Cricetulus griseus: one gene and its partners. The protein of the gene in region 2 purifies or fractionates together with the protein of the main gene of each other region. This does not show direct contact. Links are inferred from orthologs where the notes say so. Each region holds a gene or a part of one and is shown on either strand. Other genes may lie near its edges. The genes, in order: neurabin-2, Ppp1cb and Tox4.

Region 1 (3,647 bases), about 96 Mb from region 2:
TGGCATTGAGATCTTCTCTACATCCTGGGCAAAACTAGGAAAAGGGACCTTCTGGTACCTTCTCTTTCCCCGTCAGCGCATCAAGAAACCAGGCAGCAAGGCTCTGGGGGCTGCTTTTATGGGGACGACCTGACAGAGGGTATGGTCCGTACAAAACCAGGAACAATACATACATATATATATTATATACAGAGACGGGGTCCTCCAAGGGCGGGGCAAGAGCACTGCCGGTCAGAACCGGAAGTACATCGAAGACCCACCCACCCGGCTCCGCCCCCTCCATCTGCCTAGGTGAAGTGCAGGAGCCGGGCACTGTGACAGCCAGCTCTTTCTGGGGAGTGGGAAACGCTGGGGGCGGAAGAGAGGGGCAAGAAATACTGATTGATGGTATGGTCTATTTACAGGGGTCTAGGAGAAGCCAAAAAGGATAGAACAGGGTTGTTTAAAAAAACAAAACAAAAAAACCGAACAGAAACCTAGGCTTGGGAAAGGGATTGTGGAGGTGGCAAAATGAGATGGATTTTTAAAGGGGAGGGTACCTGAGGGGGTCTCACCTCCCTTGGTCCAAGCCCCAATTTGGGGTTAAAGTGGGGAAACTGAGTCAATTTCACTTAGAAAGCAGGCTGACATCAAGCAGCCCTGGTCTCCAAAAAGCTTAGTAAAATTTTTCCCTCCAGTGAAAACATTGGAAAACAGTGGGGGGTGGGGGGAGGCTGAATCTGTTTGATGGTAATACAAGGCTTCCAGGTGTGGCCCTGGGCAGGGCCTAGCTCCCCAGGGAGAGCTCTGCAGGCACACCATCTAAGCTGACCTTCCTCCCTCCTGGCAAGCCTAGGCTAGACCAAGGAAACCTGAACCCCAGAGTGGCCTCAGGACAGTTCCAGGAGGAGGCTATGGCTATTTGGCACCTGGGAGAGGGGAGGCACAAGGAGAAGTTGAGGGCCATTGCCCTTCCTAGGAAAGGGGGGGGGGGGCTGGATTCCAGATGTTCTGGACTCATCCTTTTCCCTATTCCGGCTCACTCCCCACCCCCAGCCCCGCCTGCCCCAAGGATACATGAGAAATCAGTGCAGGACCAAGCCCAGCCTGAGGCTCAAGGGTGGGCTCTATCCCTCCTGGGATGGGAAGCAGGGGTGGGAGATGTTGAGGCAACCCCTCCAAGCAGGAGGCCAGAATGCAACAGACAGAACAATGATAGGGAGGAGGAAAGAATCTCAAGTCAAGAGGCCCAGGGGCCACAAGGACCCTGTGGGCAGGGAGCAGCCTCCACGTGGTGAGATGCTGGGAGAGCCCCAGCTCCACTCCGGTCCAGAGACACAGGCTGGAGGTTGTAAAGTCTGGCAGTTTGGTCTGCAGGTCCTTGTGTCCATCCACCACCCAGGTCCGCTTTCAGTTTCTCTTGTACCTCAGCCCCATAGAACAAGGAGGCCACTCTTCCAGCTACCATTGTCTGCCCCGGGGGCCACCCTAAAGCGGCCTGTAATATGGGCCCTCTGGTCCCTGAAGCTGGGGGAGGTGGGGTGGAGGAGGGGGGAAGTCGGGGCACCTGTCCCCAGGCTGGTAGGAGCGGGGCGGGGATTGAGGACAGGGGTGAAGATAATGGGAGGGGATTATTATTGTCCAGTCAAGGAGCGATCCTGTTAAGTAGAATTGGAATTCCTCAGGGTCTGCAGGTTTCCTTCCAGTTCTGAGATCTAGAAAACAGAGAGGGGACATCAGGCTTGGCCACTGAGCAAGGATCGTGCCCCCAGCTCTGACCCTAAGCTCCTGGCCAGCAATACAATCCTCCCCAAACATCAACAGAGCGGTGTTCTTTGATTCTGGCTTCTATGTTGCTCCCTCTGGAGGCTGCCCAGGGCTCCAGGCTCTACCTTATCCAGAAGCTTGTCCATTTCCTCCTTCCTAGCTAGCTCCGACTCTTCCAGTACCCGACGCTGGGCAGTCTCTTTTTTCAGGAACTCGATCTCCCTGGAGACAGGCAAGGAACAGGGTTAGGGTTTATGGTGTATGTTTAGTCCAGTGAGATGCAGGTTTTCCCAATGTCTCTAGGGCCGGGGGTCTGGTATTCAGTCATTCCAGCTCAGGTACCCACCACAGTGCCCTCTAACTTCTGTATTCCTTGTCTCCCTACTCAGCTGGAGGAAGGCTGGGGTGGGGACTACCACACTGAAGGCCTCTCCATCCTGCTTGGGCCCAGATGCAAAACTCCTCACACATACTTTTGCTGGTAGTCCTTGATGAGTCGTTTGGCCTTGCTGTACTTGCGTTCCAGGGCCTGATACTGGGCCTGAGTCTCCCGCAGGTGTTCATCCACAGCCTGGCACAGGCTCTGGGCCTCACCCCAGTAGCCCTCCAGCTTCTCCATTCTCTCCTTATTCTCCTCTACACTCTGCTCCAGCTGGGCCTTCTCGGCCCGCCAGCGCCCTTTTTCCTGCTCCAGACTCTGCAACTACAAGGAAAGGGCAGCCCTGGGTTAGAGAGGACCAGAGTGAGTCATGCAGCCAACAGTCTTTAGGAATTCTTGCACCAGTGGAGCCTGCTGGCCCCCAACTACTAATTCTCCCAGCGGGTAGCAGGTACCCACGAGTCACTCACTGATTAGCAACTTCTGCCTTATCCAGAAGATGGGAGTGACATGCCTCAGGGCTAGTGAGATGGTAGATACGAAACAGTCACCACCCGCTTGCACCCTCTGCAGCCCTGGTTTGCAAAGCAGCCTTTATCCCTGGAGAATTTTAAGTATCTAGCCCCGCTGGGCGTTGGTGGCGCACGCCTTTAATCCCAACACTTGGGAGGCAGAGGCAGGCGATCTCTGTGAGTTCGAGACCAGCCTGGTCCACAGAGCTAGTTCCAGGACAGCCTCCAAAGCAGTACAGAGAAACCCTGTCTCGAGGAAAAAAAAAAAAAAAAAAAAATTGAGTCTAAATATCTAGCCCCTTTCCAGCTCTCAAGTGAGCTGTTTTCCCAACAGCTCAGGCTGCATTCTTCTCTCCTTACCCTTGCTCAGGCAAGGCCCCACCTCCCACACCACTGCTATGCACAGGGCCCCAAATCCCTAGTGCCTGCCACATCTTGCACCTAACTTCCAGCCCTACCATGCCCTAAATGGAACCCTCCCCATTCAAAACCAGCTTTCCTGGCTTGCTTGCCTGTTAGAAGGTCCCACTGCCTCACAGCAGTCCCTGGTACCCAGTTTCCAGTTCTAGGTTGTCCTCCTATCTTACCTGCTGCAAACACCTCATGCTTTCTAAGCTTAGATAACTCAAGCCTTCCTGCAAACCCTCAGACTTGCCACAGAGCCTTTGCGGGTACTGTTCCATCTACCCTTCGTCATTACATTTGCCATGCATCATTTTCCCAGAAAAGCCTGCTGGGAATTCAGTGGGGTAGCATGCCGCCCCCCCCCCAATACACACACACACATGAGTTCTTCCTGATCTAGGGGTTCAGTAAGGGCCCACTCCCTTCTCTTACAGAGCCTATCAGGGAGTAACAACAGCCAATGGTGTGCAGACTCTAAGACACACAGGGACAAGGACCAACTCTGCTTTTGCTCCTAACAGTGCCTAAAGTGGCATTAGCTGTCCACAAGTTACCCTAGCTGTCTGTCAATTGAATGCCTCTTTGCTTTCTGAGCAGGAAGCCAC
Region 2 (3,747 bases):
ACATTTACTCTGCTAGGCAACTTTGCACAGGAGCAACTTGATGAGTTAAATTAGCACATAACACCTCTGAAAACCAAAATAGACAAAAAAAAAATTAAGACTAAAATTACTCACTAGAAAATCCAAGTTTTTGACAGTTATTTGAACAGGTCTAGATTTGGGGAGGAAGGGAGGGACGGGTAATATTTCAGAGTAACAGGGAGATGTCAAGGTAAACAAACTTCAATTGCATACAGGAACAAAAATGTAAAACAACAACAAAAACCACCAGACAAACCACTAGTAAATCGTATGTTCAACAACGGAAGAGCAAGAAGGCTAGAAAATGCTTAAGTCACTTGTTTATACTGAGTGCCTTGAGTGGAGATTGTGTCTTATCTTTGGATTCCTGGTGCCTGGCACGGAGGAGTCAATAGACACTTGCTATATTAGAAGAATAGAACAATGTATCTTGACAAGAAATTCTTACCCAAAAAGGAGGGGGCTGGGAGTGGGGGTGACTGAAGCTAGAACCAAGTATTAGGCTGCTCTCCCCCTTTTCTCTACTAAAGTTTAAGTATCTGTAATCATATAAAGGTACATTTAATTGAAAGGGTTCTAGATCAGTTTAAAATACATGACTCTGCTATAATGTATTTATAAAAAATTAAATATGAATAAACTAAGATACAATCAAATTTAAAACTTAATTTAAGTATATGAAAACAGCGGTAGGCTTAAATTCACCTTCTCCTATAAGCACAATTCTTTTTCTAAACAAGTTTCTCACAGACACATAAAGATGTTCCCACCAGTTAAAGACCACAAAGTCCCGAGTAGTGAACACAGCAAGCACCAGGGGGCCTCCCAGGAATAACATGATACTAAAGGAAAAGGTAAATAAGAATTCCCGGTACAAAAAAAAAAAAAAAAAAAAAAAACTTCCTTCTCAGCCTTCAGGAAGGCTTTAATATCTGGAGCAAATATACAGAGATCTTTGCAAGGGATAGATACGGTGTACTTCAGTTGAAAAAAAGTCACCCCTCTCCATACAATCCTCTTTGGTAAATTTCCAAACATAAGTACAAACTGCTTCGCTGTAGTAAACAAAAGCAGCATACACGCATTCATTAGGTGTCCAATAAAGAGGGCTCTTAATCATCCAAAAAGACAATTCTTTTTTACACATTCCCCAAACAATTAGTAGCGAAGCGAATTTTTGAGTAAAAGGATTATTTTGACCAAGACCCGCTTTAACTTTGAACAGTGTCCCGCAACGGATCAATACATTTAATTACCGGTCTCTCCATCTAGTCTTCTCTTTCCTCCTTATGTTCCCACCAACACCAAACTAACTATAAAAAGCATGAGAACCCGGAACTTAAGTGCTGCGAAGACTAAGCCCGAGAGAGGCTGTTACAACAGGCATTTACTAAGTTTGTGCAGAATTTAAACTCGGCTCAAACATGTTATGATTTTAAGCCCCCCACATCAATCCCTTCAGCCCCAGGTATCCAGACGTTTCGTATTTCTAACGGACATCTCCAACCCGATCCAAGATTTTTCACTATTTTTGTACGCCAGATAATAAATAGTGAACTATGCATCCTGTCCTCTCCTTAAGCCCTTCTAGAGCATCCAGTAAAAAAATGCAAACGACCCGAGAGCCTCACTTGGGAAGGGCTTCTCTCTCTCTCTCTTTTTTTTTTTTTTTCCGTAAAATTCACTACCGGAACGACAATCGGAGGCAGCCAAGGGCAGCGCACAAAGAGCGGAGAAGAAACACACATTCCACGGACACACAACACGCAGCGGCAGGCATCGCCGCCGCTTCTTTGGAAGGGCTAGCGGAGGGAGGCAGCACAGAGGCCTCCGGGAAGGCTGTACCCGCCGACGAGCCCCGGGCCGCGGCGCCGCCTCTCCGCTGGCTCGCCCGTCACCCCGCGCTCCGCTCCGGGCCTCCTGGGGCCCCCAGCCCGGGCTGGGCTCGAGCGGGAGGGGCCCGCGGCCCGGCGCCGCACTCGCACTCACCCTCCAGCAGGCGGGTGATGAGGCTGTCCACGTTCAGCTCCCCGTCCGCCATCTTGTCGGCACCAGACTCTCCTCCCCGCAGCGGGAACAAGGGCTTCGCGGCGGCGGCGGCGGCGGCGGCGGCTCGGCGCTCTCACCTACGAGTCACGCGGCGTCTCGACCCCGGCCGGCTCCAACTCCCCCCGGGCGCGGGCCCTCCCCCCACCCCTCCCCGCCGAGCAGCGAGAGCGCGCGCACACGCCGGGAGAAGCCCACTAGAAATAATTAAATAAACAAGCCGGGCCCCACGAACCGAGCGCATCAGACCCCAGCAGCCGCCACCGCCTCCGCCTCCGCCTCCGCCTCCTCCTCCGGCGGCTCCTCCTGCTCGGCACCGCCCAGCTCCGCAATGCTCGCCAGCGCCGCGGGCAGCCCCGCCCTCAGCGTCACTCCCTTCCCTCCGCCCTGGCCCGCCGCCCCGCCGAGCCGCCAGAGCCGTGCGCACGCGCGCCACGTCCCCCTCCCGCGGCCCCGTCCCCGCCCTCGCCTCCGCCGCAGCCAACGCGCAGGTGCGGCTCCCTCCCGCCCCAGGTCCGCTGGCCGAGCCGTCACGACTGCTCAGGCGCAGGGAGGAGCCAGCCTTGCTGCGCAGAGCGAACGCGGAGCCCGCGTAGGCACGAATGACCTTCCTCTTCTCTGCAGAGTTAGCGATTGCGTCCCTCCCGCCTTGCTTTTCTTTTCTTGGCTTCATTCACTGCCCTTGCAAACAATTCCTCATGTTTCCGCTAATCTGGAACCGTGTGTGCGCTGCGGTTGCCCATCTTGGAAACCCAGGTTTGTTGGAAGCAGAACGAGACGACTCTGCTAAAAAATACTGATATAGCAAATAAAGTGTTCTTTATCGTTTTACCAGTGTGGCTGATTCTCCAGGTGGCCCTGGGTGAAACAAGCATCAAAGTGGGCCCCATTCAGCAGTAATAAGATAATACACGCTCTGGTTTCTGCCTCTGTAGCCCTTTTATCGTATCTTGTATCTATCTCCAAACACTCTAGATAGCACTTTTCCATAAGTGCTTTTTGTATATTGCTCTATTATATGCCTTAATCTTCTTATCTTGTGATAGTTGAACTTTTTTTTTTTCTGCTGTACTTGGTTCCTAGAGGATAAAATCACATTTGTAGGCATGAGATGCCTGTAATCCCTACACTTGGGAGATTCCGAAACTCAAGGTCATCATCAACTATGTAACAGGACGGGGCAGCTTATACTACAGTAGTTCCTGTCTCAAGAAACCAACCAACCACAACTCATTTATCTTCATGTCTGCATCACCCACCAAGTATCTTGTTTATACAATACAGGGAGAAATAGAAACTCGGGGAAATGGAAAGATTCGTTGCTTGCCTTTCCTTCCAACACCTAAAATTGCCACCAAAGGACAGTAGGGAAGAGTAGCCAAGGAAAAGATTTAGGTAAGGATTTGAGGAAGTCAAGTCAAAACTTTTACCTATTCCCAAACCGGTGCTTCTTCCTCACCCCACCCTCACCCCACCCCCAACTCAGACTTCATGATGCTGGCAGCGCAAGGCTGCCTGTACTTTCCTTGCTCACTTACTAATAGCTTACACTGAGATTGTATGTCCTGGCGCTAATCTAGATGTCATGCAACATCATCTCATTTCATTCTTACAGCAAGCCCTAGGCGGCAGGTACCATTATTACCTCTACTTGTGGGTAAGACTGAGACACTAAATGAG
Region 3 (3,647 bases), on a different chromosome or scaffold from region 2:
GCCTGGGGCTGAACTCAGTTTTGTTAGTGCTAGGCCATAACCCCAGTCCAACAAACCTTTGTTTTTAAAGTACTGTGTAGATTAATAATAGTAAGTTCCCTTTTTAAAGGGGGTATTTTAAGTCAGTATTTTCATTCCTCTTTAATTTGGGATTTAAACCCAATGCACTTTACCACTGAGCTGTAACCCTAAGCCTCTTATCCCAGTGCTGTTTCCTCCTAGGGACAGAGCTAAGAACTTTTCCAATAACATCTGAAGCAAGTCCTCTGATAATTTTACCGACACATTTCTTCTAATAACCCACTATGGTTTGCTTCCATATTCCCTTTACCCTTTCCTGTGCTATAACCTGGTAATTTTGCTTGTAGTCGAGAGTGAAAAACAATTCCAAATTACAGTAAATTCACTGGCCCTGCTATAGTCTGGCCTCTGCTGAAGAAAGAAAAGATGGGGACATGAAGGACTATGGGTGTAAAGGTCAGGCACTACCAGAAGAAGCCCAGCTTGTGTTTCAAATACAGGCTCTTGGACTTGTGTCTGGCAGATGAATCTTCCAGGCTTGGAGAAACAGAAAGGCTACTTCACAAACACCACAGAGTTTGGATTTCTAGAGGCCACCCAGGCCAAGAATACATCCCTAAGAGAAAGAAAGATAACACAAACTTATTACAGCCTAGATACATTCCTTAACTATCTCTTTTATCTTTTCAACAACAACAACAACTACAAAAATACCCAAATAATTGTCTCCATCTCCAAAAATACATTATCTTAGTAAACTTAGGAACAAAGAGCCTAAAAGTCAGAAGGTAGTGATCCATCTCACAGAAGTCTAGAGACAGGACACACTCACCTTTTTCGTGGATATAGGATAATCCCCTGGAATTACTACTGTAGGTAAGTAGTAAAACTACTCTTCTCACAATTAGCATTTACTGGGCTATTTTCCCCTTAACCTATCCTTCACCAATTTCTTTGGCACTGATAACTGAATCAGGTCCTTACTCATGCCAGGCAAGCTATCTTCAATTGGGCTACATACCATACCTAAGAGATTGAACAATGCTTTTTTCTAGTATCTCTAACCAGATATCCATCTACTTATGTATGTATCAAGCTGTTCTTCTACCTAAAGAAATACTGATTACATACTCAAGGTGCTTCCCAACAGATAGCTTAACTACTACTTTAATTATAAGAACTGTTTCGCTCACCTGCAGTGTTTTACCACACACTCATTGCTGCAGTATTCGTTGTCCCAATCCTTACTGATAACAGGAGGGTTCTCACAACCAGACCTCACACATCGAGGCTGAGGTGAGAGTGTCACAGGGGATCCACTCACCAACTCAACATCCATCTGAGAAGGAGACTCCACCTTAGAACAGGGAACAAACAAGGATGGGTTAGAGTACTACCTACCTAGTCAAAACATTTTACATACCAGTAGAGAAACAGGTACCATACCCCCTCACATAAGGAGTTTCAGAAAAAGGCAAGTTCTTGATTTTCTCATTTTATAACCAAGCTTTAGAATTCTGCTAAGCAGGATGACATGTACATTCTATCTAGGAATTTTATTTTAAAACAACTTGTTATAAATTAAACCTGGCATACAGAGGAAGAAGAATCAGACTCAGGGTTCTCTTTGGCTGCATAGTGAGTTTATGTATCCTGGCCTACTAAGACTCGATCTCAAACAAAAAAACAACTGGCAGAACTGGATTCCCACCAGCCCCATCCAAGGAAATAATACAGGCTTACCTCAGGAACTACATCCGTGATCATTTCACAGATTGTCTCAGGAGAGGTTGCTTCTGCTGTGTGAGCCTCAGGGCTGCAATTTAGAGGCTGCTCAGGGCTGCTTTCCACAGCTGGAGGGATCAGGGCAGTCTGCATTTTCAGAGTGGGTGGAGGCACAACCTTGCTCTGCAGAGGTGGTGGTTGCTGTTGTAAATTTATTCTAACTTTCTGAGGTGGAGGCTGTTGCATGGCCTGAAGTGGAGGAGGTTGCTGCAGAATAGTGACTTGCTGTTGAGTTGGGGGCTGAGGCATCTGTTGCAATGGAGGTGGCTGTAGTCGGGGTGGAGGCAGTTGCATAGACGCAGCAGCTGCTGCTGCTGCCTGCAACACTGACCGAGTGACAATCTGGGCCTGTTGGCTGGGCTGAATAGTAGCTGTACTTGTTTGGCCTAATTGGAGCCCACGGGAGGTAACCACTGTAGCTGGGATAACAGTAACCATTCCTCCTTGAGACATGGTAATAGAAGAGGGCAACATCTGTTTGGTAATAATCAATTTGGTAATATTGGGCTGACCTCCAGCCCCCGAGGATGCCTGGTTTGCCACATAAGATGAAAGCGTGGAATTAACTACAATGCAAGGGGACAAAGCAGGTGACTCTGTTGAGGCTGGTGCTGGAGATGCTGGGTCAGCAGTAGTCACAGGAGGTGGTGAAGGAGTCTGTGACTGCGGGACGGGATCTAATTCCACTGTTTCCACAGTAGCCTAAAAGACCAAGACAGAAAGGCAACAAGTAATTTACTCTCTACTGTAGCACACATTCACTCTCATTACACTTCAAGAAAATATAAGTAATAGAAAAATAAAGGCTTTCTTAGGTAAACACTGGAAATAATGGATAAACTCAAAGACTATTTAGCAAGGCTTATGACACAAAATACTGGGGAAGCTCTAAATCAATTTTAACACTATATAATAATAGGTTTCACAGTTTTTTTTTTTTAATTTTTATTTTATGTGTATGGGTGTGTACCTGCACATATGTGCACAACAGAAGAGGACATTGGATCTTCAGGAACTGGAGTTAAGATGGTCCTAAGGAACCATGTGAGTGCTGGAAACTCAGGTACTTTTTAAGTACAGCCAGTGCTCTTGACGTGTGCCTTTCTCTGTGTGTGTGTGTGTGTGTGTGTGTGTGTGTGTGTGTGTGTGTGTCTGTGTGTCTGTGTGTGTGTGTGTGTACACGAAAAAGAGAGATAGAGACAGAGATTTACCTATAGCAATTTTTTAAAAATGAATTGGTTTAATACATCCATTTATTGTCACCTTACCTGACATTCCTGGTTGTCTTTATAAGCAGCTAGTGCCTTGAGATACTCTTTCTTGGCAGCTTCAGTTTTCCGCTTATACACCTATGAGAAAGAAAGACACTGTTTCAAATGACCATATTCCTAGGAGAAACTGACAGTCTATTATTGTCCATCAGGAACTCAGTCACACCACAGACCACTCCTTTTAGTGAAAACACTTGAGCAAGAAACGACAAACTTTATGGCAAATTCACTCTACTGTCTTGCTAGAATACCTATACTTCTAAAGTGAACAGAAATGCATGTTCATTGCTATATCAAAAATAAAACCACCTCCAAATTTTAAGATGAGTAGTCTACATAGCCCAATACTGCCCAACTCAGAAACTTTCCCCTAGGAATGTACTAAGTTGTCAGAGTCCTTTCCTCTTGTGTGCCCTTCTCCCACCAAAAGCTGAAGGCTCAGCTATTTCCTCTTCTCCTGAATCTGGACTCATTCTCTCTGTGACTTGTTTGATTATTACAATGTACCACACTGCTTAAAACATGAGACGCTACCTGAAGGAGCAACAACACGCCAAATAACAGATGTGG

Evidence for each region.
Region 1: the proteins of Ppp1cb (region 2) and neurabin-2 purify together in Homo sapiens (affinity purification with mass spectrometry; 4 studies listed by BioGRID and IntAct, with this or other methods). This does not show direct contact. The link is inferred for Cricetulus griseus from reciprocal best matches to the Homo sapiens genes PPP1CB and PPP1R9B.
Region 3: the proteins of Ppp1cb (region 2) and Tox4 purify together in Homo sapiens (affinity purification with mass spectrometry; 5 studies listed by BioGRID and IntAct, with this or other methods). This does not show direct contact. The link is inferred for Cricetulus griseus from reciprocal best matches to the Homo sapiens genes PPP1CB and TOX4.

Annotation. Positions count from the first base shown.
Region 1 is NC_048600.1:108,184,816-108,188,462, reverse strand, and holds part of neurabin-2, read right to left. Parts: intron 2,450-3,647; coding exon 2,220-2,449; intron 1,969-2,219; coding exon 1,872-1,968; intron 1,695-1,871; coding exon 1,641-1,694; 3' UTR 1-1,640. UniProt on the Homo sapiens protein: Seems to act as a scaffold protein in multiple signaling pathways. Modulates excitatory synaptic transmission and dendritic spine morphology. Binds to actin filaments (F-actin) and shows cross-linking activity. Binds along the sides of the F-actin.
Region 2 is NC_048600.1:12,008,217-12,011,963, forward strand, and holds the start of Ppp1cb (serine/threonine-protein phosphatase PP1-beta catalytic subunit), read right to left. Parts: upstream 2,446-3,747; 5' UTR 2,303-2,445; intron 2,198-2,302; exon of another isoform or gene 2,148-2,197; 5' UTR 2,063-2,147; coding exon 2,011-2,062; intron 1-2,010. UniProt on the Homo sapiens protein: Protein phosphatase that associates with over 200 regulatory proteins to form highly specific holoenzymes which dephosphorylate hundreds of biological targets.
Region 3 is NW_023276807.1:207,391,236-207,394,882, reverse strand, and holds part of Tox4 (TOX high mobility group box family member 4), read right to left. Parts: intron 3,156-3,647; coding exon 3,075-3,155; intron 2,509-3,074; coding exon 1,765-2,508; intron 1,379-1,764; coding exon 1,215-1,378; intron 638-1,214; coding exon 577-637; 3' UTR 1-576. UniProt on the Homo sapiens protein: Transcription factor that modulates cell fate reprogramming from the somatic state to the pluripotent and neuronal fate. In liver, controls the expression of hormone-regulated gluconeogenic genes such as G6PC1 and PCK1.